4 linked regions of the Drosophila melanogaster genome follow. The protein of the gene in region 4 interacts with the protein of the main gene of each other region in a pairwise test. Each region holds a gene or a part of one and is shown on either strand. Other genes may lie near its edges.

The links.
Region 1: the proteins of spn-F (region 4) and Rpn2 interact in a two-hybrid assay, tested with the Drosophila melanogaster proteins (one large-scale study listed by BioGRID).
Region 2: the proteins of spn-F (region 4) and Vti1a interact in a two-hybrid assay, tested with the Drosophila melanogaster proteins (one large-scale study listed by BioGRID).
Region 3: the proteins of spn-F (region 4) and TMEM216 interact in a two-hybrid assay, tested with the Drosophila melanogaster proteins (one large-scale study listed by BioGRID).

Annotation. Positions count from the first base shown.
Region 1 is NT_033777.3:29,151,889-29,157,809, forward strand, and holds Rpn2 (regulatory particle non-ATPase 2), read left to right. Parts: upstream 1-1,635; 5' UTR 1,636-1,720; exon of another isoform or gene 1,721-1,807; 5' UTR 1,808-1,842; coding exon 1,843-2,785; intron 2,786-2,847; coding exon 2,848-4,155; intron 4,156-4,413; coding exon 4,414-5,225; coding exon of another isoform or gene 5,226-5,252; 3' UTR 5,253-5,367; downstream 5,368-5,921. Other genes in the region: Slbp (Stem-loop binding protein), read right to left, coding at 360-1,034, 1,096-1,251. UniProt on the Drosophila melanogaster protein: Acts as a regulatory subunit of the 26S proteasome which is involved in the ATP-dependent degradation of ubiquitinated proteins.
Region 2 is NT_037436.4:690,955-694,763, forward strand, and holds Vti1a (vesicle transport through interaction with t-SNAREs 1a), read right to left. Parts: upstream 1,966-3,809; 5' UTR 1,825-1,965; coding exon 1,731-1,824; intron 1,667-1,730; coding exon 1,068-1,666; 3' UTR 532-1,067; downstream 1-531. Other genes in the region: RabX6, read left to right, coding at 1-456; CG13894 (uncharacterized protein), read right to left, coding at 2,329-3,809.
Region 3 is NT_033777.3:8,714,312-8,721,852, reverse strand, and holds TMEM216 (transmembrane protein 216), read right to left. Parts: upstream 5,611-7,541; 5' UTR 5,285-5,610; intron 4,958-5,284; 5' UTR 4,729-4,957; coding exon 4,512-4,728; intron 4,005-4,511; coding exon 3,811-4,004; 3' UTR 3,482-3,810; exon of another isoform or gene 3,397-3,481; intron 2,656-3,396; exon of another isoform or gene 2,521-2,655; coding exon of another isoform or gene 2,265-2,520; intron 2,050-2,264; coding exon of another isoform or gene 1,856-2,049; 3' UTR 533-1,855; downstream 1-532. Other genes in the region: CG8136 (uncharacterized protein), read right to left, coding at 1-230, 292-313; CG11760 (uncharacterized protein), read right to left, coding at 1,856-2,049, 2,265-2,520; Cks85A (Cyclin-dependent kinase subunit 85A), read left to right, coding at 6,056-6,114, 6,185-6,416; CG8112 (uncharacterized protein), read right to left, coding at 6,677-7,541.
Region 4 is NT_033777.3:31,253,100-31,257,210, forward strand, and holds spn-F (spn-F), read left to right. Parts: upstream 1-2,027; 5' UTR 2,028-2,143; coding exon 2,144-2,870; intron 2,871-2,938; coding exon 2,939-3,306; coding exon of another isoform or gene 3,307-3,342; 3' UTR 3,343-3,560; downstream 3,561-4,111. Other genes in the region: mRpL32 (mitochondrial ribosomal protein L32), read left to right, coding at 1-199, 256-518; CG1750 (uncharacterized protein), read right to left, coding at 560-924, 980-1,142, 1,200-1,524, 1,580-1,755. UniProt on the Drosophila melanogaster protein: Plays a role in oocyte axis determination and microtubule organization during oogenesis. Also required for polarized organization of the bristle. Required, with jvl, for activation of the kinase IKKepsilon in the germ line.

The sequences.
Region 1 (5,921 bases), 2.1 Mb from region 4:
TTAACATAAAATAAAGAAGTGAGTCCTGTCTTTTCTTTTCACAATAACTCTACCCTAAATCAAAATTAGTTAAGAGCAGACGTTATTACAAGGACAGCACGCGCAGTAAAAATGCCGGCGGTCCGGAAAATTTCGAATCACCAAGGACTTCCTCAGGTAGCAAACGACAGAAAACCCAGGATCTTGTAAGACGCCATTTTATTCAACAAAACATCTGCGTAACAATTCCCCGTACACGGCCTTGTGACTCGAAGATGCGTGTTTGATTCATAGTTTTAACTTTGTACTTGAAATAAAAATTAGTAGTTAAACCCCCGATATTTGAAAAACATAGCCCGGCCCGGTAACAAGATTCGATCCTAGTCAGAATCCGAGTCGGAATTACTGTCCTTGGCCGTGTCGCGCGCTTGTGTAGGTGGATCATAGATGTGGAGGCTTTTGCGCCAGATCTTCACGAGCCCATCGAAGGCGCGGCGGCTGTACTTTCCATACTTGTTCGGGGTGCGCGGATGATCGCGAGTCCGCTCGTCCTTTGGCACCATTTCCACATAGCGCTCGTAGGCGGCAGTATTCTTTCCGTAATCTATTTGCTTCTGCCTGCGACTTAGGATGGCGGGATCGGCTTCGGTGTAGGAGGATGACGATGAGGTGGAGGACGTGTAGCTGTTGTGGCGCACCCGTTTCTCCTCCTTGTGGGCGCGGAAGTTGCCAGACTTTTTTGAGTTCCTCGAATGGGGATTGTTGCCGCCTTTGGGCGCAGCTGCATCTCCGTTGGCCGAGGAGTTGCTGCTGTTTGGACTGTTGGAGCGACTGTTCTCGTTGCTGGGCGGCGTGAACGAGTGTCGGCGCTTGTAGGGCGTTTTTAGCTTCTCCTCCTTGACCAGGCGCTCGAACTTTACCTCGTTGACGCCATCCAGGAACTCAAATGCCATCTCCCGGCCCTCGCCATCTTTGGACTCCAGATTACCGTCGGCTGTCTCCTTTTTGGCCAAGGAACCGCAGCTGGCAGCGCTGCTATTCAAGGAACTGGAGGCCTGCACGTGCAAACAAGAGAATTAATTGTGTTCCCGATCGTAGCAGCCAACCTTCACTTACCTCGTCACTGTGGCCAAACTCCGCGCGGACCTCCTGGGCCCAGCTCTGCATGGTGGGCTTCACATCGATCGAAATGGAGGATGCTGAGGAATTCAGGCTGCCGGAGCCTTTCTGCGGTGTGTTCTCCACGGACATGTGCTGATCCTCGCAGAGCATGTTGTGCAATTATCTTTCGTTTGTTTACTGTGCTGTGTATGATGCGGTCCGCTGCTCCAGGATGTTGTCGCGGCGGTGTTTTGCGTTTTCTGCGCAAACCTTCGCGCGTTTTTTGTTGTAGATGCGATGCTCAGTGTGCCCAGAAGTGGAGGTGGTAAGAAGGCGGCAAAAAGGTACCACAACACAGAACAACCTGGTCACTCACAACTAATTTCAAACTATGCTCCAAATGTATTACATTTCATTTCAATTTTGTTAAAATTTGATGTCCAATACATATTTAAACATACAGAAAATTAACAGCGATTTTTAAATTGTCTGAGGGAGGCTCAAACAATATCGATGCATCGGTACACATCGATAGCAAGACATCGAGCAACCAACCATTACCAACACTGTCTGCTTACCGAGTGATTTAGCATTTTTTCGGCACAAAAGAAAACTGAAAATTAAAACGGTGCAATTGTTGGTTAGTACGCAAAAGAACGATTTGTTTTCATAGCAAACGTAAAGTTTTCGAGCCCAAGTTGAACATACGTCACTTTAAAATCCGTAGAACATATTTTTGACTGGAAACAACGCAGCTGGAAAATGAGTCTTACGTCCGCCGCGGGGATAATTTCCCTACTCGATGAGCCAATGCCGGATCTTAAGGTGTTCGCCCTCAAAAAGCTGGACAACATCGTGGATGAGTTCTGGCCGGAGATCTCGGAGTCCATCGAGAAGATCGAGATGCTGCACGAGGATCGCAGCTTCCCCGAAAACAAGCTAGCTGGCATGGTGGCCTCCAAGGTGTTCTATCACCTGGGCTCCTTCGAGGACGCTCTGACGTACGCCCTGGGCGCTGGTGATCTGTTCGACGTGAATGCCCGCAATGAGTACACGGAGACCATCATTGCCAAGTGCATCGACTTCTACATTGCCCAGCGGGTGGAGTTCATCGAGAACCCTAAGGAGGCGAGTGTCGTGGACGAGCGGCTGGAGGGCATTGTGAACAGGATGATTCAGCGCTGTCTGGACGACAACCAGTTCCGCCAGGCTCTGGGCATCGCTCTGGAGACCCGTCGCATGGACACCTTCAAGGACGCTATCATGAAGTCGGACGATGTGCGTGGCATGCTGGCCTACGCCTACAACGTGACCATGTCCCTCATCCAGAACCGTGGCTTCCGCAATGAGGTGCTGCGCTGTCTGGTCAGTCTGTACCGTGATCTGGGTGTGCCGGACTACGTGAATATGTGTCAGTGCCTCATCTTCCTGGAGGACCCCTTCGCCGTAGCCGAGATGCTGGACAACCTCACACGGTCCTCGGTGGAGACAAACAATCTGATGGCCTATCAGATTGCCTTTGATTTGTACGAGTCGGCCACGCAAGAGTTTCTGGGCAATGTGCTGCAGCACCTCAAAAACACCGCTCCTATCCCAACCGCCCTCCCCAGCACATTTAAGCCCCAGGGTACCACCTCCGAGGATGGTGCCAAGTCGGAGGGAGACAAGTCCAAGTCTGACGAGGATATCACAGAGGAGACGCCAGGTAAACCCGGTTTTCTAATCCAGTCCCTTAAAATACTTATAAATCGCATTTTATTCACCTAGCTGATGATAAAGTAGAGCGCACAATCGATTCCCTTAACGAGGTTGAAAAGTTGCATCAGAAGAACATTGAAAAGCTCATATCGATCCTCTCCGGCGAGGTTTCCATCGACCTACAGCTCCAATTCCTCATCCGCAGCAACCACGCCGATTTGCAGGTCCTTCGAGGCACAAAGGAAGCGGTCCGCGTGTCTATCTGCCACACAGCCACTGTTATTGCCAACGCCTTCATGCACAGCGGCACCACCTCCGACCAATTCCTGCGCGACAACCTCGACTGGCTGGCCAGGGCCACGAATTGGGCCAAGCTGACGGCAACCGCTTCGCTTGGAGTAATTCATCGGGGTCACGAGAAGGATTCCCTGGCTCTCATGCAGAGCTATCTGCCAAAGGAGGCCGGTCCAAGTTCTGGTTACTCTGAGGGTGGTGCCCTTTATGCTTTGGGCTTGATCCATGCGAATCACGGAGCTAACATTATAGACTACCTGCTGCAACAGCTGAAGGATGCCCAAAACGAGAATGTGCGTCATGGCGGCTGCCTGGGACTAGGTCTCGCTGGCATGGGCACCCATCGCCAGGATCTGTATGAGCAGCTGAAGTTTAATTTGTATCAGGATGACGCGGTTACCGGAGAGGCGGCGGGCATTGCCATGGGTATGGTCATGCTGGGCTCCAAGAACGCCCAGGCCATCGAGGACATGGTGTCGTATGCGCAGGAGACGCAGCACGAGAAGATCCTACGCGGCCTAGCCGTGGGCATCTCCCTCACAATGTTCTCTCGTTTGGAGGAGGCCGACCCCCTGGTGACCAGCCTGTCTTCCGACAAGGATCCTGTGTTGCGCCGCTCGGGAATGTACACCATAGCTATGGCCTACAATGGTACTGGTAGCAACAAGGCCATCCGCAAGCTGCTACACGTGGCCGTCTCCGACGTAAATGATGATGTGCGACGTGCTGCTGTGACAGCCATCGGCTTCATCCTGTTCCGCTCTCCGGAGCAGTGTCCCTCTGTGGTCAGCCTTCTGGCAGAGTCCTACAACCCGCACGTTCGTTACGGAGCCGCAATGGCTCTTGGTATCGCCTGTGCCGGCACAGGTTTGCGTGAGGCCATTGCCCTGCTGGAGCCAATGGTGAAGTTCGATCCGGTCAACTTTGTGCGCCAGGGAGCTTTGATCGCCTCTGCCATGATCCTGATTCAGCACACGGACCAGAGCTGTCCCAAGTCCACCTTCTTCCGTCAGCTGTACGCCGAGGTCATTAGCAACAAGCACGAAGATGTGATGGCGAAGTACGGTGCCATTTTGGCTCAGGGTAAGCAATATAACACGATCCCTTTTCGTTATTTATGCAATTATATTGAAAAGCTAATTAGTTTGTTAATTTGCATCTATTAAACATTGGTTTCCGTAGTTTTCCCGCCAAGCTTCGAGATAAGATTAGTAGATACTCAAAATTATAAATATTCCATTTTTAACTAAGCGAACGACTATAGGTATTTTTGTAGGAATTGATTTATAATTAGTAATCGTCCTTTCCAGATCTTTCTAATTAGGCATTGACTATTTCCAGGTATTATTGATGCTGGTGGCCGAAACGCTACTCTGTCCCTGCAGTCCCGTACAGGACACACCAACCTGCAGGCAGTGGTGGGCATGCTGGCTTTCACCCAGTACTGGTACTGGTTCCCCCTGGCCCACACCCTTTCCCTTGCCTTCACACCCACCTGTGTGATCGGCCTGAACTCCGATCTGAAAATGCCCAAGATGGAGTACAAGTCGGCGGCCAAGCCCTCGTTATACGCATATCCCGCCCCACTGGAGGAGAAGAAGAGCGAGGAGCGCGAGAAGGTGGCCACCGCAGTTCTGTCCATTGCCGCCCGCCAGAAGAGACGCGAGAATGCCGACAAAAAAGAGGATGAGAAGATGGATGTGGACGAGGACAGCAAGGAGGGTGCTGCTGTCAAGAAGGACGAAGAAGCCAAGGCCGATGAGAAGATGGTAACGGATGAGAAACCCAAGAAGAAGGATGAGAAGGAAAAGAAAAAGGAAGAGGATAAGGAAAAGGAGGCAGCTGGCACCAGCAGCGAAAAGGATAAGGATAAGGAGAAGGACAAGAAGGAGAAGAAGGAGCCAGAGCCGACCTCCGAAATCCTGCAGAATCCCGCCCGCGTTCTTCGCCAGCAACTGAAGGTCCTTAGCGTTATTGATGGCCAGTCGTATGAGCCGCTGAAGGATGTCACTATCGGTGGAATTATTGTATTCCAGCACACTGGCAAAGCAGAGGACCAGGAGCTCGTTGAGCCAGTTGCCGCATTTGGACCGATGAACGACGAGGAAAAGGAGCCGGAGCCCCCAGAGCCCTTTGAGTACATCGAGGACTAAATGGGCATGCTGTTTGTCATTATCTAAGTGAATCCTGTTCGATTTTCAACCTTGCTTACGTTTCATGAGAACAACTAATCGGCAAGAACACGAAATGCTAATCCCTAATTATAACACAATAAATGGTCATCATATTAGATGTAAATAATGTCTACTTTGGTTTATGGTGGTAGTCGCCAACCTATTTTTTATCTCCTTAGAACTCGATCAAGAAGATTGTTTCGCCACCCGCCGAAAGATCCGCCTCTCAAACATAAATAAGTGATTTCACAACGCTCGGCAATTGCCCACAGTCTCTCTGAATTTGTAGAAGCGCTCTCTACCATGGCCGTTTTTTAAAGGGGATTGGTGCACCGTGGCCTCAAGGTAAACTTATGTTTGGATTTTAAGATGGTTAATTGCAATCGAATCGGGTTGGTATTCAATTATTATAAATATAAGCATATGATCGTATATGCAGTTAAAAAATGATCTTTGGAAATCATATGTTTTTAAGCTAAATGCCCATGTGCGTTGCCAAGGGAACTTGATATTTGCAAACAATTATTCAACAAGTAAATGATCAATATGTTTATAACTTTTATGGCTGGTTCCAACCACTTTCGTTGCAAAGAAGGGACAAATACAAACACTATATAAATCACTGTTATTATCCGTGGACAAGCACTGAAAAGCAAGTGCACTTCAACGGTGCGT
Region 2 (3,809 bases), on a different chromosome or scaffold from region 4:
CTCTGGGACACCGGTGGCATGGAGCGTGTGGCCTCGGTCACATCCTCGTACTACAAGTTCGCCGAGGGAGCCATCCTGGTCTTTGCTTTGGACAACGCCGCTTCGTTCCACTCGCTGTCGCAGCACTTGCTGGACATTGTGACCTATGCAGAGAATGCCAAGATCTTCATCTGTGGCAATAAGAGCGATCTGGATGGCAGGGAGCCGGAGGTCAGCGATGAGGAAGTGGAGGCCTTCTGCGAGCAGTGCCACTCACTGATCAGTGCCACGTACAAGACCTCCTGTCGCAGCGGCGCCGGTGTGGAGGAGATGTTCCGTGACATCTCTAGGCAACTGGTCCACGCCAATCGCTCCAAAATGGAACTGCAGGCACTGGAGCACAAGAGCTTCCAGGTGGACACTGCGAGCAGCGGCGCGGCGACCAACGAGGAGGACGCCTCCTCCTGCGGCTGCTAGCAGTTGGGGAACATTGAGTTCGGCTAGGAACCCTTATTCCCGCCAGGCTCAATGCTCACGCAGAGATGCATTTTTACTGTTTCCTTTATTTATTGATAGCTTTCGGCTATGTTATGATTTTTAGATACGTACATGTTCAATTCGAATTTTTACGAAAAATACGTCCCGAACGCGAACACGAGTCATAGAGTAGGATTAGTTTCTATTAACCAGGCGCCAAACATTAACCACTTAAACTTTGTACACGTAAGCTAGGATGGCGGATACGCGAGTGATAGGTTAGAAATCTGCGGTAAGAATTAAAAAGTAATAGGAATTCCATCGATTAACAAGAAGGTCAATTTAATCTTAAAGGTAAAAGGACAACAAAATATATAGACATCGATTGACCGCAGATAACTACTCTAAGCTTCGACTCTTATTGCACGTAATACTCCATCCTATCTTATATAGATTAGTGCGTAATCTGCAGCTTTCTTCCACAGAATATCTCGTAAAAATAAAATATACTAAACAATAAATAATCAACTCACGAAATTGGAATGGACAGGCTTCTATAACATTTGAATTTGGGCTAAGATCATTGGCTATTGGTTTGCTAGCTAAAATTACTACGACGAGGCGGTGCTGCTTGAACTGGGTGCGAAGGTCAGATAGAGACTGACGCCCACGGCCACCACAAAGCAGACACCCACTCCATACAAGACCACCTTCTCCCGCAGGGCTCTTAACATCATGGTATTCAGAGTGCGAGAAGCTCTTCCCAGCTCGGCATTGGTTTCTCGAAGTCGAGCCCTGGCTCCCTGTAGAGTTTCCCTTTGGTGGTGCAGATCATTTAGGACCTGGGCGCCCAGTTGCTCCGTCTCCAAGGCCACTCTGTACCCTTCGGTTAACCTGTTGCCCGTCCGTTCAATCCTTTCCGAGTTGTCCAAGAGGCGTTGGCGTTGATCTGTACTTATGGACACATCCTCATAGCTGTCACCCAAGTCCAGAGTGGTGAATGTGTTGGCTTGGGAGCGCTGTTTGTCCTTGGTCAACCTGTACTCCGCCTGCAGCCGTTTCAGTTCTGCCTGGGCCACCTGCAGCTTTCCGTTGAAGCTGCTCCGCAGTCCAGGATTTAGCTCCCTCACCTCCAGACCCATCTGCTCCAGCAATTCCTGAGCCTCGGGCAAACTGGAGTCGATCTTGCTGCACAAATCATGGCGCTCGCCTGGAGTAAATGGACAAATGGTAATCACCATAATGTACAATCCATGGACAATCATCCCACTCACTGTTGTTGTTTTGCTGCTGCAGCCGTCCAATATGGGCCGTTATTTCTGCTATTAACGTGGCGTATTGCTGTTCGTATTGCTCCAGAAGCGACATTTGTGCGGTTTTTATTCTACCTTATTCAGTTGTTTATGGTATTTGTTCTGTTTTAGTTCGCGAAAATTACAGATTTATCGAAGAAAAGAAGTAAACATTGTCCAAGTGTGGCCGAGTCATGAGGTGAACAGTAATACAGCAATCTATAAATACTTTTAAGTCGTGGTCACTCTGATTTCGAGTCAGCGTTGCCATACTCATGTAAAAAACACTGCCAACTTCAAGGACTACAATATTCTCGTAAGAACTCAGATAAAACCAACTTCCGTTTTAAATACGTAAATAAAACACAAACATATCTATTATTTTATAAATTCCATTTTATTGTACTTAGAGTAATTAATAAATTAATTAATTAGGTTCAGCTTTATGCGAGTGGAGATTCTTTGTTAACCTAAGCAACTGTTTTGGCGGTAGTACGATTTAATAATACTACATGATACATATGTACACTGTTCATCACATTTATGTTTTGTGCTGTCCTGGTCCGCGATTAGAAAACTCTTAACCCTCGACCAGTGTGGCCTTGTCCCCTTTTCGGAGCACCAGTTCCAATTGGGACAGCAAGCCAATAGCCCGAAAGTTCTCCTTGAAGAGCACGAAGTCCTCCAGCGGTTTTAGGTACTCCAAGGCCTGGTGGTAGCTTTCCAACTCCTTCAGCATGCATAAAGCCTTCTTATCCTCGGGGTCTGGGGATGTGTGTCCATTGGTTTGGCTGCCGGAGGAGCTGGATCCATTGGGGATCTTTTTTGGCGAGGCGGGAGCAGAGGCGGGTTTGGTGGACGCAGCTCGAGCTGGTGCAGGTGAGTCCTTTCCCTTGGAAGAAAGGGCAGGCGTGGATTTGCCACTTGTTCCGCCTCCCTTGGGGGCGTTCTCCTTGCTGCTGGCACTGTCTCTTCCCCCGCTATTATTGTTGTTCTGCTCGTTGGGACTGGAACTTCGACTGTGCTTGCTGGTTAAGGTTGATTCTGCTAGCGGATATGGTGGTGAGTTCACCGCTGAGTTAATCTCTTGCACTTCGTCATCATCGGGTGACTCCATTTTGGGTCTCTTGGCCAACTGAACGGGCTGGAAGGGACTGGCCCGCTGCGGTGGAACATTTGGCGGCAATTGGGGCTGAAAGGGTTCCCTTTGAGGTGGCATAGTGGGTGGAAACTGTTGCATCTGCTGCTGCTGCTGGAGTTGCTGTTGCATTTGCTGTTGATGCCGCTCGAAATAAAAGTCGTTGAAGCTGGCGAACCCGGGGTGTGGAGTAGGATGTCCGGGATGTCCTGGAAACGGTGGCCATGGGTGGCCCATTTGATGCTGCTGCTGTTGCATATGTTGCTGCTGGAGGGCAAAGTGCTGCTGTTGCTGCTGCTGTTGCTCTTGATAGCTCTGCTCCTTTACATCCATACTGTCATCATCTTCTTCGTATTCTCCGTACTGTTGCATGTAGGTCATGTACTGCTCGGGCATCTCCTCCAGTTTGGCCACTCTTTCAGCGCTCGCGGGCGGAAAGAGATGGGCTAGGTCCTGTACGATGTCCGGGATCCACAGGGAGGATCCTAGTGGCTTCAACTGGTTGCTGGCTAGTTTTTGGGCAAAGCCTTGAAGATGAGTCTCTCGGAAACGGTTTAACCAGCGATTGTCTGCTATAAAGGATGTGCTCCCTATGACTTGTCTGGCATTCTCCGCCTTGTCCTTGATCATTCCGTGGGTAATGCTACCTCGCAGCTGGGGATTGATATTGGCCCTTACTAGCCATTCGTATACCACTGCATTGATGTAGGCGCACTTTCGGCTCCTCTCGATCTCCTCCACCATGGCCTGCTGCTCAACGGCCTCCAGGTTGGAGGGAACTTCCAGACGCAGGGTGGGCAGCGCATTCGACTGCAGTCGCCTGCCACCCAAGACACTGGGGTCAAAGTGCAGGGCACATACCACTGGCTTTTTGAAGGGCACAATTCGTCTTAGGGAGGCGTGGCACGCCTCCTTCCACAGCT
Region 3 (7,541 bases), about 23 Mb from region 4:
TGCACCTTGTTCGTTGGTGGCGCTCTTTGTTTCCAACTCTTGCGCTGGCAGCTGGCAATTTTCGGAGGTAGTGTGTCCCTTGGTGGGCACATCGGTCACCTGACTTCGGTTTAGGCTGCGCGAAGGAAGCCGCCGATAATTGACCAAGGAGTCGAATGTCTCCTCCTCCTCGTTGAGCTTCCACATGACGCGGCGACTGCTACTAGACATTGAACGTCCAAACCCCTCTTCTGGAGCAAAGAACACACATAGTTTTAACAACTTAAGGATGCCACACTCGGCTTGACTCACCCGACTTGTGGTTTTTATCCATGGAGATGGCTTGAGTTTTCCTCTGACAAATTAACTTCGCCACTGGCCTGCAGCAGTTCTGGTTTTGAATTTACAGAGCTTACAAATTTGGGAGGCCTGTCTGTGTGTAGCTGAATAATATCTGAAATTTTGGAGGCACAAAACGAAATACACCTATCATACTCGAAAAGATCTTATTGAACCCACGGCCTACTAATAACAGATTCCTTTTTCTTTTTTTCGATCTTTAATATTCATTTTCATCGAGTGTATATGTTCTTTTAAATATTGTTGTCGTTATTTTATTAACTATCCGTTTTACACGCGCTTTAAAAGTATGTTAACATTTTGCGTTTAACGAAATGACATAAATATTATACAGGTAAATTATTCAACGTAGGATGTGGCTTTGGTTTTCTTTCAGCTTCTAGCTTCCAGCTGTTTGGTTTCAGTAAAATTATTTCTTTTGTTTTAAAAGCATGAGATTTGTGGACTGTTGAGAGTTTTTGTTATCGATTTGTGCGTTATTTTGCTATGAAACCACACAAAGGTCTTATCAAATTATTACACAATCTTCGGTCTAGCTTAGAAAATGTTTGTGAACATTAGTGACTAGCATTGGAGGAGCTGCAATCCTCGGATCCTATCAGGCGGGGATAATTGAGCGTGATTTAAAGGGCGTTTCGAGTTGCCAATAGGCTGAATTGGGGAGAAGTGTAATGGAGGGTTTTCGCCTAGTTTTTAACACTCTATAAATGTTTTATATGATTTAGCTAATTTGTTGTTCGCTTTCTAGTAAACGGTTGCCCGCTCGGGTTTGCATTGTTTTTAGTGACGTCTTGAAAATGTTATTTACGCTATTTGCTAGGTTTATATAAAGTAGTTTCATTAAAGTACACACATGGTCTAGACTTTTAACTGGGCTTAATTATGTTGTTCTCCGCCTTTTGAATATTGGTATGAACTACTAAACGCTGACTCTTAGTGGTAATGAATTTTTTTAATGGCCTTTCGGCCATTTGTTTTTCATGATTTTGATGCTGACTAGATTTTGTGAGACATTCCACTGATTTTTTTACAATTCTTTTTAAGATTCGAGCTATCTGTGAACTATTATAAATTATTATTTCCACACATCAAATTTGTTTTTCGGCTGTTTTTCGATATTTTTCTTTTTACAAAAAAATTTTCATCTTAAAATTGTGAAAATTATTCAAGTTTTAGGTTTTGCTTGTTGTCTTATATTGGTTCCAATTGATGCTTAAATGTTAACAATTTTTGTATATAAAACCGTTAAATATATGTATATAAGAGTGTGTGTATGTTATCATAAACCTTACTATACATAATTATTAATATGCTACATATGTGTTTTGTTTTGTTTTTTTTTTCTTTCTGTTTGGTTTCTCTTCTCCACGGCCATGAGCAATTCAGCTGCCTACTGCTTTTCAAATTCATTAAATTTCCTTACACCGCATATTATCCTTTTTCGATCTTATAGATTGCTAAACTTTCGCATGTATATTTGCTGCTAGTTGGCTGTTGGATGTTTCTGTCTATATGGCTAATCATAAGTTACTGGACGACACAGCGAGAAAACGAAGACGATGGCATACCACACCTCGGTCAGGTAAAGGGCGATCTGCAGCGTGCACAGGCAGTACTCCAGGCGCAGTCGGTAGGTCTGGAGCAGCAGTAGATAGGAGACGCCCACAAAGCAGGGGGCGGTCATGAAGACCGACAGTATGGCCGACCAGCCTGTGATAGAAAAGCAGAAGAGTTCATTAGAATCTGATTGTAAAAGCCATAGATACTATTCTATTACAATTATAAATAAGGATGATAATGAGTTAATTAGTATTTCTTAAGTCTAATGGTTTGGTTTGATTAAACGATTGATAACGCCATTGAGGATGATTCTATTGTTTTAGAATATCCTATAATTAGACCAGCCAGCAGGCGGGAGCTTCTACCTCGATCGGCCAGCGAACTCATGCGCCCCATTATCAATCGGATCGTCTCAAAGACAATGAAGCTAATCATCACCCCCGTGTCCAGGGCTAGAGTATGTCCCGTGTAGCTGAGATTGATGGCCTTCAGGAGGCCCATGGCCATCTCGCAACAGGCGAACATGCCAAAGTAGAACGAGTTGAGGTAGATCAACACCTCGTAGTTCATGCTGGGATTTGGCTTCTTCGGCACGAGCGGTGGCGGACGCTTGGGCGGCATCTTTCTGCCGGCTTAGCACCTCCTTCTGCTGCTTCTCCTGTTACCCCTCGATGTCTACGGCAAATTGGACCGATTTGATCTCCCGGATCGCTCACACGGCGGCGTTGCTCACGTTGGGCACTGTATTTATAGACTGACCATAATAATAACGCGAACCTGCCGTGCTTGGCCAATGCAGCGGCAGCGGCATCGACATCGGCGGTCTCACGGTTTGTCGCTGCGAAATGTGCTGTTTATTTGAATAATGTGCTGCTGGTCGTTGTCGCCTTTTATTTGTTTTCTCTGCTCGCTGTTTGGGTCAGCATTGGCCGGCAGATCGCCTGCCTAGAAATGTGGGGGAGAATGATTTCACTGGCGGCTAGTTGGGGGGAAAAAACTACTAAAAACTCCCTGGGCGTTATGCTCTACAGGGCCCAGGGCCATTAAATGGTTACCTTGAAATTCAGGATAGGTTTAGGGTGAATATATGAAAACCATTGTTGGAATTTTAATTATTTTTAAAAACTCAAAGCGTTATGCCTCGCTAAAGTCCCGTGAATCTCTCTCCTGTGAATCGTACAGGGCATGTTCACTAGACCAAAGACCAAACGGAGAGCCCTCTCATCTTGGCCATTACAGTCAGGCTAACTTGCCCGCAGTGGGCCGTGTATATTACATTCAAATTAGAAGTGTACATTGCACCTAGGGGACAGCAGCGGTGTTGCACGAGCCGTGCAGTTCGCATATAATTTTAGACCATCAGAGCCGTATAAAAATACCAGAACCGAGCGGGTCCGAGGAGCAACTGCGCCAGCAGGGAGGCAACGCCACAAAGGCCGGGCAAAAGAATGCAACCAAGAAATGCAAATTAAATGCAGCTTTGCTTTTGATAGAATCGGACGCGTCGTGTTTCGCTGCGATGTGATTTCCGCGGGCGCGAATGATCTGTGCGGATTATATAAGTTTATAAAGGTTCACGTACCTTGTTGAAAGTCCTCCTCAACTGCCAGCCATTGGGTATGTTATCGGGTTGTCTTGGCACGGATTCCTAGGAGGTCTAGTAGGATCTAGATTTTTTGTTTTGTTTTTATGTGCGGTGGCTTAGTGTGCATTTAAGTGGCTTAGTTTTGAGGCCTTGGCGAATCGTTTGATGTGAAATTGCCAGAGGAAAGTGTTTCGTCTTCGTCGTAGTCGTCGCTCGGCTGTGGATGCTTCTACTCCTTCTCCTCCAGGTGGGAGTGTTAGTGCTGGCTTGGTCTTGATCTCGATCTTGGTCGTTGACGTGGCGGCGGCAACGCGGCTTATCAACTGCTAGGTGTATGTGACGGGGCGACACATTGTACAAATGAATATGCTGGCGTAGACTAGTTCAGCACCTTGTAGGGTGATCATTAAGGCACTCAGAATAATTTCGAGTTTGAGAACAAAGGTTTGAAAACAACACAAGTAGATAACAATAGCAAGACTGGGCAGTGTTAATATTACGGATGCGGTTGCTTGCCAGCCTGCAAAGAGAGAAAAACAAGGAAAATGTTAGCTACAGATGCACGGAAAATCGTATAGTTCGTCTACTTGTTTATAATTAAGTGTATTCGATTGAAAGTGATTCAGTGTTTTAAAGTATTATACTAATAATTTCATGTTTACACATTGCGATAATTAATATTAACAGCTCCAATTGCTTTTCCAATAACTCATTTCGATGATTCGCTTTGATAGATTTCCTTTGCATATTGCTTAATGTGCCAGAAGGGCGCCTTTCCCCTGCCACCATAAAACGCGTGTTTTCATCCGGGGTGATGACCATAATTACGCATACGCCGAGTGGGCTACATCATACATATATGTATGTATGCCCGTCCAAACGTTTATGGGTTATGGCCCCGGAGGTAGGGGGATGGCATGAAATGGGCATTGTGACCGGGCAAACAAATAATTTCGCCATGTCATCATCGCTGCCGGTGGACTTTTCCCACCCTTGCAGTAACATGGGGATCATGGGGATTACTCACCACGATCGCTTAGACTGCTCTTCCGCCCGAAGACAATGCGCACGGTCTCGATGATGCACAGTGAGAGCAGGATGCTGGCCTCCCGGGACAACGCGTTCTCGCCGTAGTTTAGATTAATCGCCTTAAGAACGCCCACGCCCACTTCGAAGGCGGCGTACATGCCAAAGTAGAACGAGTTCAGATACATAAGTATCTCATAGATGAGGCTGGCGTTCATGGTGCCCGCTACTGCGGAAACGAGTCCGTAACCGTTGCCGTATCCGTGTCCTCCTGCGTGGCGACCAGTTCCTCAAGGCGGCAGGTGCGTCGCCTCTAAATGATTGGATGTCACCTGGGCAGTTTGGAGCAGCTCCTCCCGCTTTTCCACTGGCAGCAGCAGGTGTTTCGGCTTCTCTACGCCAGCATTGGGACCTTTGGGCGGTACGTGGTGAGTGATACCTGCTGGACTGAAAAATATTTGCTAATTGCGGTCTGCTCGTATTTACCAATGCGCGCATACATACAGTCAAACTTCCTCAACTAGAACTTCATAAAATCAATCGAATTTATAGGTGGTTTTGCTGTGCCTATGTATCTACATATGTACATTGTATGCATTTATTTACTAGCATACCGTAACGGTAAATTCATTAAGCGACAATAGGGAGTACATATACATAAAGGTTTTAGGTTCTTAGAACCCATTTTCTTCATCACTAAAGGACACTTTTTATTGTAGTAGTAAAGTCGTATCTACTTATGGAAGTTTGACTGTATTTACGTATCGTCCTCACCTCTTCCACTGCTTTTTCTTCTTGTTCCCGTTCTACTTCGCCTTTCCTCTTCTTCTAGCTGCTCCACCGTTACTGTCTAAAGTCCCGTTGTCATGGGAGTAAGTGGATGTTATGTTATGTATATGAAATGCACGCAGGCGACAACTCTATGCTAATATTAAGTACATGCGTTCACGTTTATTTATACGCGTTGTTGTGCGTTGTTGTTGCCCGCTGGCCTGGCTGGTTGTTGTTGTTGTTGGTTTGTTGGCAAGAGACGAGGGGCTTATATAAAAAGGAAAGGAACCTCAAACGCACATGCACAAATGTGGCCATGGGCGAGTAACGGAGAAATTGCCGATTGCATTTGGAAAATGTGCGAGCCTGCGAGTTCCGGTCACACTGGAAATCACATATTATCCAATTGAGTTTTTCATTCGCTAAATATGTTAACATTTTCTAACAGCATCTTTTTACAAAGTACTCGTTTTTTTAACAAAATGGCTTTAAAATGGCTTTAAACATTGCAAAAATATTGTTATACAGAAAAAAGTTTATGTTCAATATATTAAAGCCCGCTAAGATCGTGCCATTAAAAACAGTACATTTGAGTTTACCGCCAAAGGTGCTGTTAACTGGACAGCTGATAACCAAATCGATAACTTTATGTTCGATACGTGCAGCGATAACAATAGTATTTAGAATCGAATCAGTTGTGGCATATCTATCTGAATTTATTGACCTATTTTGGTAAAATTGCTTAATTTACCTCAGGTTTTCTGGCTTTTCGCAATGCCGGCCGATCAAATTCAATACTCAGAGAAGTACTTCGACGACAACTTTGAATACAGGTACGTTCAACTTGCGTTTCAGCATCCGTGAACTGTTTGTTTACACACAAACCACTTTCCCTCCCTGCAGGCATGTTATCTTGCCACCGGATTTGGCCAAACATGTGCCGAAGGCTCATCTGATGACCGAGACGGAGTGGCGCAACCTGGGCGTGCAGCAGAGCCCCGGCTGGGTGCACTACATGGTCCACGCGCCGGAGCCGCATGTGATTCTATTCCGACGCAAACGCATTCCGGCAGAGGACGCTCCACAGGTGGCAGCCGCTAATGCGGCTCAGGCCATCGCGAATCTCTGCGGTTAGGCGGAGGATGCCATGCCGCCGAGGAATGCTCTTCCAAGGACGCACTCGTCAATGCTCACGTAGTATTTCATAAGTTAGCATCAGGCAGCCTGATGTAAAATAAGAAACCATAGCTTTAGGGTTCAGCTGGGAAGTTCAAAGACACGAAACGAACTGAAGACATCGTTTCTGTTAATTTCATTAAGTTTATTTACCTAAAATACAAATCGAAGCGTACGCCCTGTGTACAGACAGTTTAAAAGTAGTGTTTAACTAATTGACTAATTGTAGCAGCGCCATACCGCCGGCAGCAGGCGATACGTCCAACTCTCGTTGCTTAGGTTGCAGTTCTTTAGGGCGTAATGCTCCATGGCGTATAGTGAGATCAGCGTGGCATTTCCCAGGATCAGAGAGAACCACAGAAAGATGTTGCCCATCACTTTTGGAGCACTCCGCATTAGGAATACCAAGGCAACACCCACGACCCCAAAGAAGAAGAACATCACTGGGAAGAACATTTGCAGGGCAAAGCCGAGAACCTGCTCATGGACCACAGCGGAGATCATGAACACTGCCAGCGAGGCGGCCACCTTGGAACCTCGGAACACATGAGTGTACATATCCTTGTACACGTACTCGTACAGCCAGTCGTGCACGACGACATTCCAGTTTCTGTAGTAGCCATCGTAAGTGTGCGACGTCCACCAGTCCTTGTAGAACATTCGATCACCGAAGCGTAGCAGCTCCGACGTGAAGTTCAGCCACGAGTGCAGGATTAGGTAGAAGCCGCACAGAAAGATCACCGCGCTGGGCAGCATCATGCCGAACAGCTTGAGGATCAGCTGGGAGGGTCCCATTGGTTCCAGTCCGTACTGTCCGAAGTGCTCGTGGATGTGCCGCTCATGGATGAACGCGTACAGGAAGGCTATGGCCACCACCTCCAACAGTCGATTCAGGGCAAACTTCCAGCGGATGTGGGAGGTGCGCGGGTAGCTGTCTCGGTAGATAAGCGTGGGTGCAAACAAAAAGTACGTGTAACAGCTCAGCGGCGGCACAAAGGGTCGCTCACTGCCTTCTTTCTCCTCCTCCGCATCTTCCTTCTTGGCCTTGCCATTCAGAACGCGCTCAGCATTGTACCTCACAAAG
Region 4 (4,111 bases):
TCCTCCCAGGAATTCAGTTTGAAGCAGCTTATTGGCGACGGATTGCTGTGGGCTGTTCCGAAGCACAGAAGATCCGTGGAGAAACGCCTGAAGCGGAAGTTCGGATATCCGGAATACAACTGGAAGCCTTTGAGGGAGAAGAGAAACCTCCGCTCCTGTCTGCAATGTGGCCATGACCACGAGATGGGAGTTCTTTGTCGTAAGTAGCCTTAAAAGTATACAAAGAGGTAGCCACCTTTAATGTTGCTCTTCCAGCCTTCTGCTACCAAAAGGTCCTGAAGGAGACTGAGCTCATGCAGTCGAAAATCCAGGAGACACTCGGTCTAGATCCCGTGGACAAGGAAGTAATCGTTCTTTATGAAGGCGAGAAGGCCGAACAGTCCACAGATGATCTGAAAAACAAGCGCATCGTGGAGATGAAGAAGCCTCGTCCCATGTGGTTCACCAAGAATCTGCTCCAAAAATCCACGCAGCAGCTGTCCGAAACCAAGGAAGTCAAGCCCTCCGACTTGGCCTAGATACTAAGCATCCATTGTGCATTAAATCCACACGTTCGTTATCAAATCGATGCTATTTTATTCTCTGTGAAGGATAAGGACCTTGCTTGCTTCAGGAATCCGTTGTTAAAGTCCTGGGCACTCATAGGTTTTCTACCTTCCACGCGTAACTGAAGCACTTCCAACTGACTCTGCTGAGCACATCCGATTATGAGGGATCTCGACTTCCTTAGGTAGCTGATGGCACCAGGTTCTTGGACGGGAACTCTCTTCTCCGGTAATCGCAACTCCAGCAACTGCACTTGCTTGCCCAAAAAGTTGGTTGTAAGGTTTTTGTAGCCATACAAAGCTCGATGACGAGTGTATATTTCAATGGCACTCAGCTCGGACCAGATAATTTCTGTGATTTTACTGGTAATCTTGGGAGCTGAAGGCAAAAATATAGTTTATATAGGTTCTCGAAGTGCTTAGATATGCTTTACCATAGCTGACCCTTGAACTATCTTGGGGTTTGGCTTCCTTAAGTCTTACTGATAGGTTGTTAATAGTATCCACAAGTAACTCGGCTCCTAGCGACGCCAAAGATGCATGCAGATCCGGCATGAAGACATCGGGATTAATAGCCACTTCTCGCTGAGCTAAAATCTAAAGCATAAGTCGTCAATACTACTGCATACAATGGTAAGATAAGAATGAACTTACATCACCGATATCGAACCGGTGAGGTTCGATTTTCATGATGGAAACTCCAGTGCTGGCATCTCCCTTCATGATGGCGTATATGATGGGAGCAGCTCCCCGCCATTTGGGTAACAAACTAGCGTGAACATTGATCATCCCATAAGGAAATCCATTGATGATACTACCAGGAATCAGGTGGCCAAAGGAGACCACCACACCCAGATCAAATTGCGGACACACAGAAGGATCTATGGGCCACTTTTGCAGGGGAAGCTTCTCCTTTTCCGCGTAGGTCCTCACACAGTTGGCGGGACTTTTGAAGGAGGTAACAACTCCCAAACGATCACTAAGAAAAATATTCTTATTAATCCAATTTAACATTATTGTTTAAAACATTTTACCCGCAGTTTTTGTGTAGCGCCTGTAAGCTGGGCAAGGAAAAATTGTCGGTACCGAAAAAGAGAATTTTTGGAGGGTGGTAAGTTCCCTTGCAGCGCTGTGCAATTGGGATTACATTCTGCCACACTTTTCTCTTATATTTGTAAAAATTATTGACTAAACTCTTGCCGCAAAACATCGGAAAATTTGTTGGATAATAATGCAGCGTAAACAAAAACAGCTGTTCGCGATACCAGCTGGTCACTCTACCAAATAACGTAATAGGAATGCTGAGATAGAGTGAAACCTGTTGAACCTATCGTCTTCAACCATGTAAATGGTGGTCTAACTTTATAAGATCAAGAGTCGTTATTTTTGTTTAAGTAATTAAACTTAGCTCAATACATTACTTTACTTTTATTTATCTGTCTTCAGTGACTATAGACTATCGGTATAGTGTATATTATTTTTTTAAGTTCATCGCACGGTCATACTAATGAGAACGCAATAAAAATTTGGAAAATCAAACATCTACAGGAAAACGTATATTTTTGGGATCAAGTGCCAAGGAACTCCAATACTGCAGAATGGAGGCATCTGCTGCCAAAATCACGCCTATGGCCAGTTCCATGTCCGCTTCCGGATCCACAAACTCCCCCTCCAGTGAAAAAATGAACTACGCACTGCAAGTGGCGCTGCAGACGATCAAGGAGCGGTGCATCCAGCTGCAGCGCCGCGTGGCCAGCATGGAGGAGGAGAACCAGCAGCTAAGGGAGGCCTCCAGCAGGTCGGAAGGTGCTCCAAGGGCAAACGAAATCGGGGTCACTGGGGACGTCCTCTCTCTGAAAGCACAGGTCTCTGAGCTGCAGCGCCAAAAGGAGCAGCTGGAGGAGCACATTGGCATGGTATCCAACGAGAACAGACGGCTCTGGTCCCGCCTATCGCAGATCTCCAAGGATCAGCAGCTGAACGCACTGCCCAGCTCAACAGACTCGCGAGCCCAGCAAAACCAGAACCTGGTGCGCTCCAAGACCTTTACGCAGCACTCCCCCAATCCTCACCTTCGCCAAAAGATGCTCTCCGACGGCATTAAGGATCTCAGTCTGGAGGAAATAGCCCTGGATGACTTCGGTGCCAGCAGTGAGGAACTAGGTTACCCCTACAACCTGCAAAAGGTGGAGGAAACCACTAGTGAACCAGATGCCAATGTGGATGCCAAAAGATGTTTGGATGGACTGCAGGAGCTGAGGCGAGAGGCCATGAAGCAGCAGCAGGAGCTCAGATCGGTAATGACTCTGCTAGAAAATCGCATAGGTAAGCAACAAAATGGAATTCATGCTATAAAAAAAATAACTTTTAACGCCTGTTTTATGTGCAAGCAGCACTCAAGCCCTGTCCGGAATGTGCCCAGAAAACCATCAAAAAACCGGAGATGGCCGACAAAAGTCTGGAAACGGACGACAGCCTGACCAGCGAGCTGAAGAACTATGAGAGCCAACACAATGGACACAATGGCACGCCGCCCAGCCAGAGAATTAACATAATACAAGAGAAAATCAAAGCAGATGCAGCCGACGCAATGGAGAAGACCTGCCCTATGTGCGGCAAGCAGTACTCCAGCCAAGTGTCCTTCAATGCGTTCCGCGAGCACGTCGAGATGCACTTCATCGACGATGCACTGGAACTGGAGTCGGAGAACAGCATTGAGCGCCAGTTTGAGTTCGTTTCCCATGCTGTGGGTGACTTCTGACCCAGTAGGCGCATTTATTTCGCCACCGAACTCTGACCTGACCGGAGAAATCCAAGGATTAAGGAGCAGTTTGACTGCGCAGGAGCCGCTTGTTACGTTTCTATTGATAAGACGTTAGGGCGATCATGTATCAAAACTATACAACATTGAACTTTAAGAAAAAATATATATATATTGTATTATAATTGCGGAGAGTGCATGAATATATAGATGTAAGTGACCGAATACGAAATACAGTTTAAATGAAAAGCCTGAAAACATGTTGAGCGCTCTCTTCGGTTGGTTGGAAAGTGAAATCGTGGACCGTGGACAACATAAATATTATATTATTAGCGCTGACAAATATTGTAATATCAAAGATGACGATCGATGTTACCATCGCTTGTGGTCATTATCCGATCTAATTGGCAGCTTTTCTGTGAGTCACACACTTTGGGGGAAGAGTGGAACATTCGACAAAGAAGTTTGGCTTGAGGCCATTATGCTGTAACTGGTCAGAGGATTTCCCTGTTTTTTTGGCTATGACGTAGTCGAAACCCGACTGGCAACGTGTGCCTAATCGGGCTGATCCAGTCATTCAATGCGAATATTTGCCAAAATATTGACCATAAGATTTGCCATTGATAGCAATACAAATGCAAATGCTCAGAGCTAACTTTCTTTTAATGCATTTGGAGTGGGTCGCAGCAGGAATTTAGCTTAAGGAAACATTTTAATTTGCCTATGCTAATAAGTTTGATAAATAAATATTTTTAAGACACAGGCACGTGGCAGCTCCCGTGGATACTTTATTACGTTACTATGA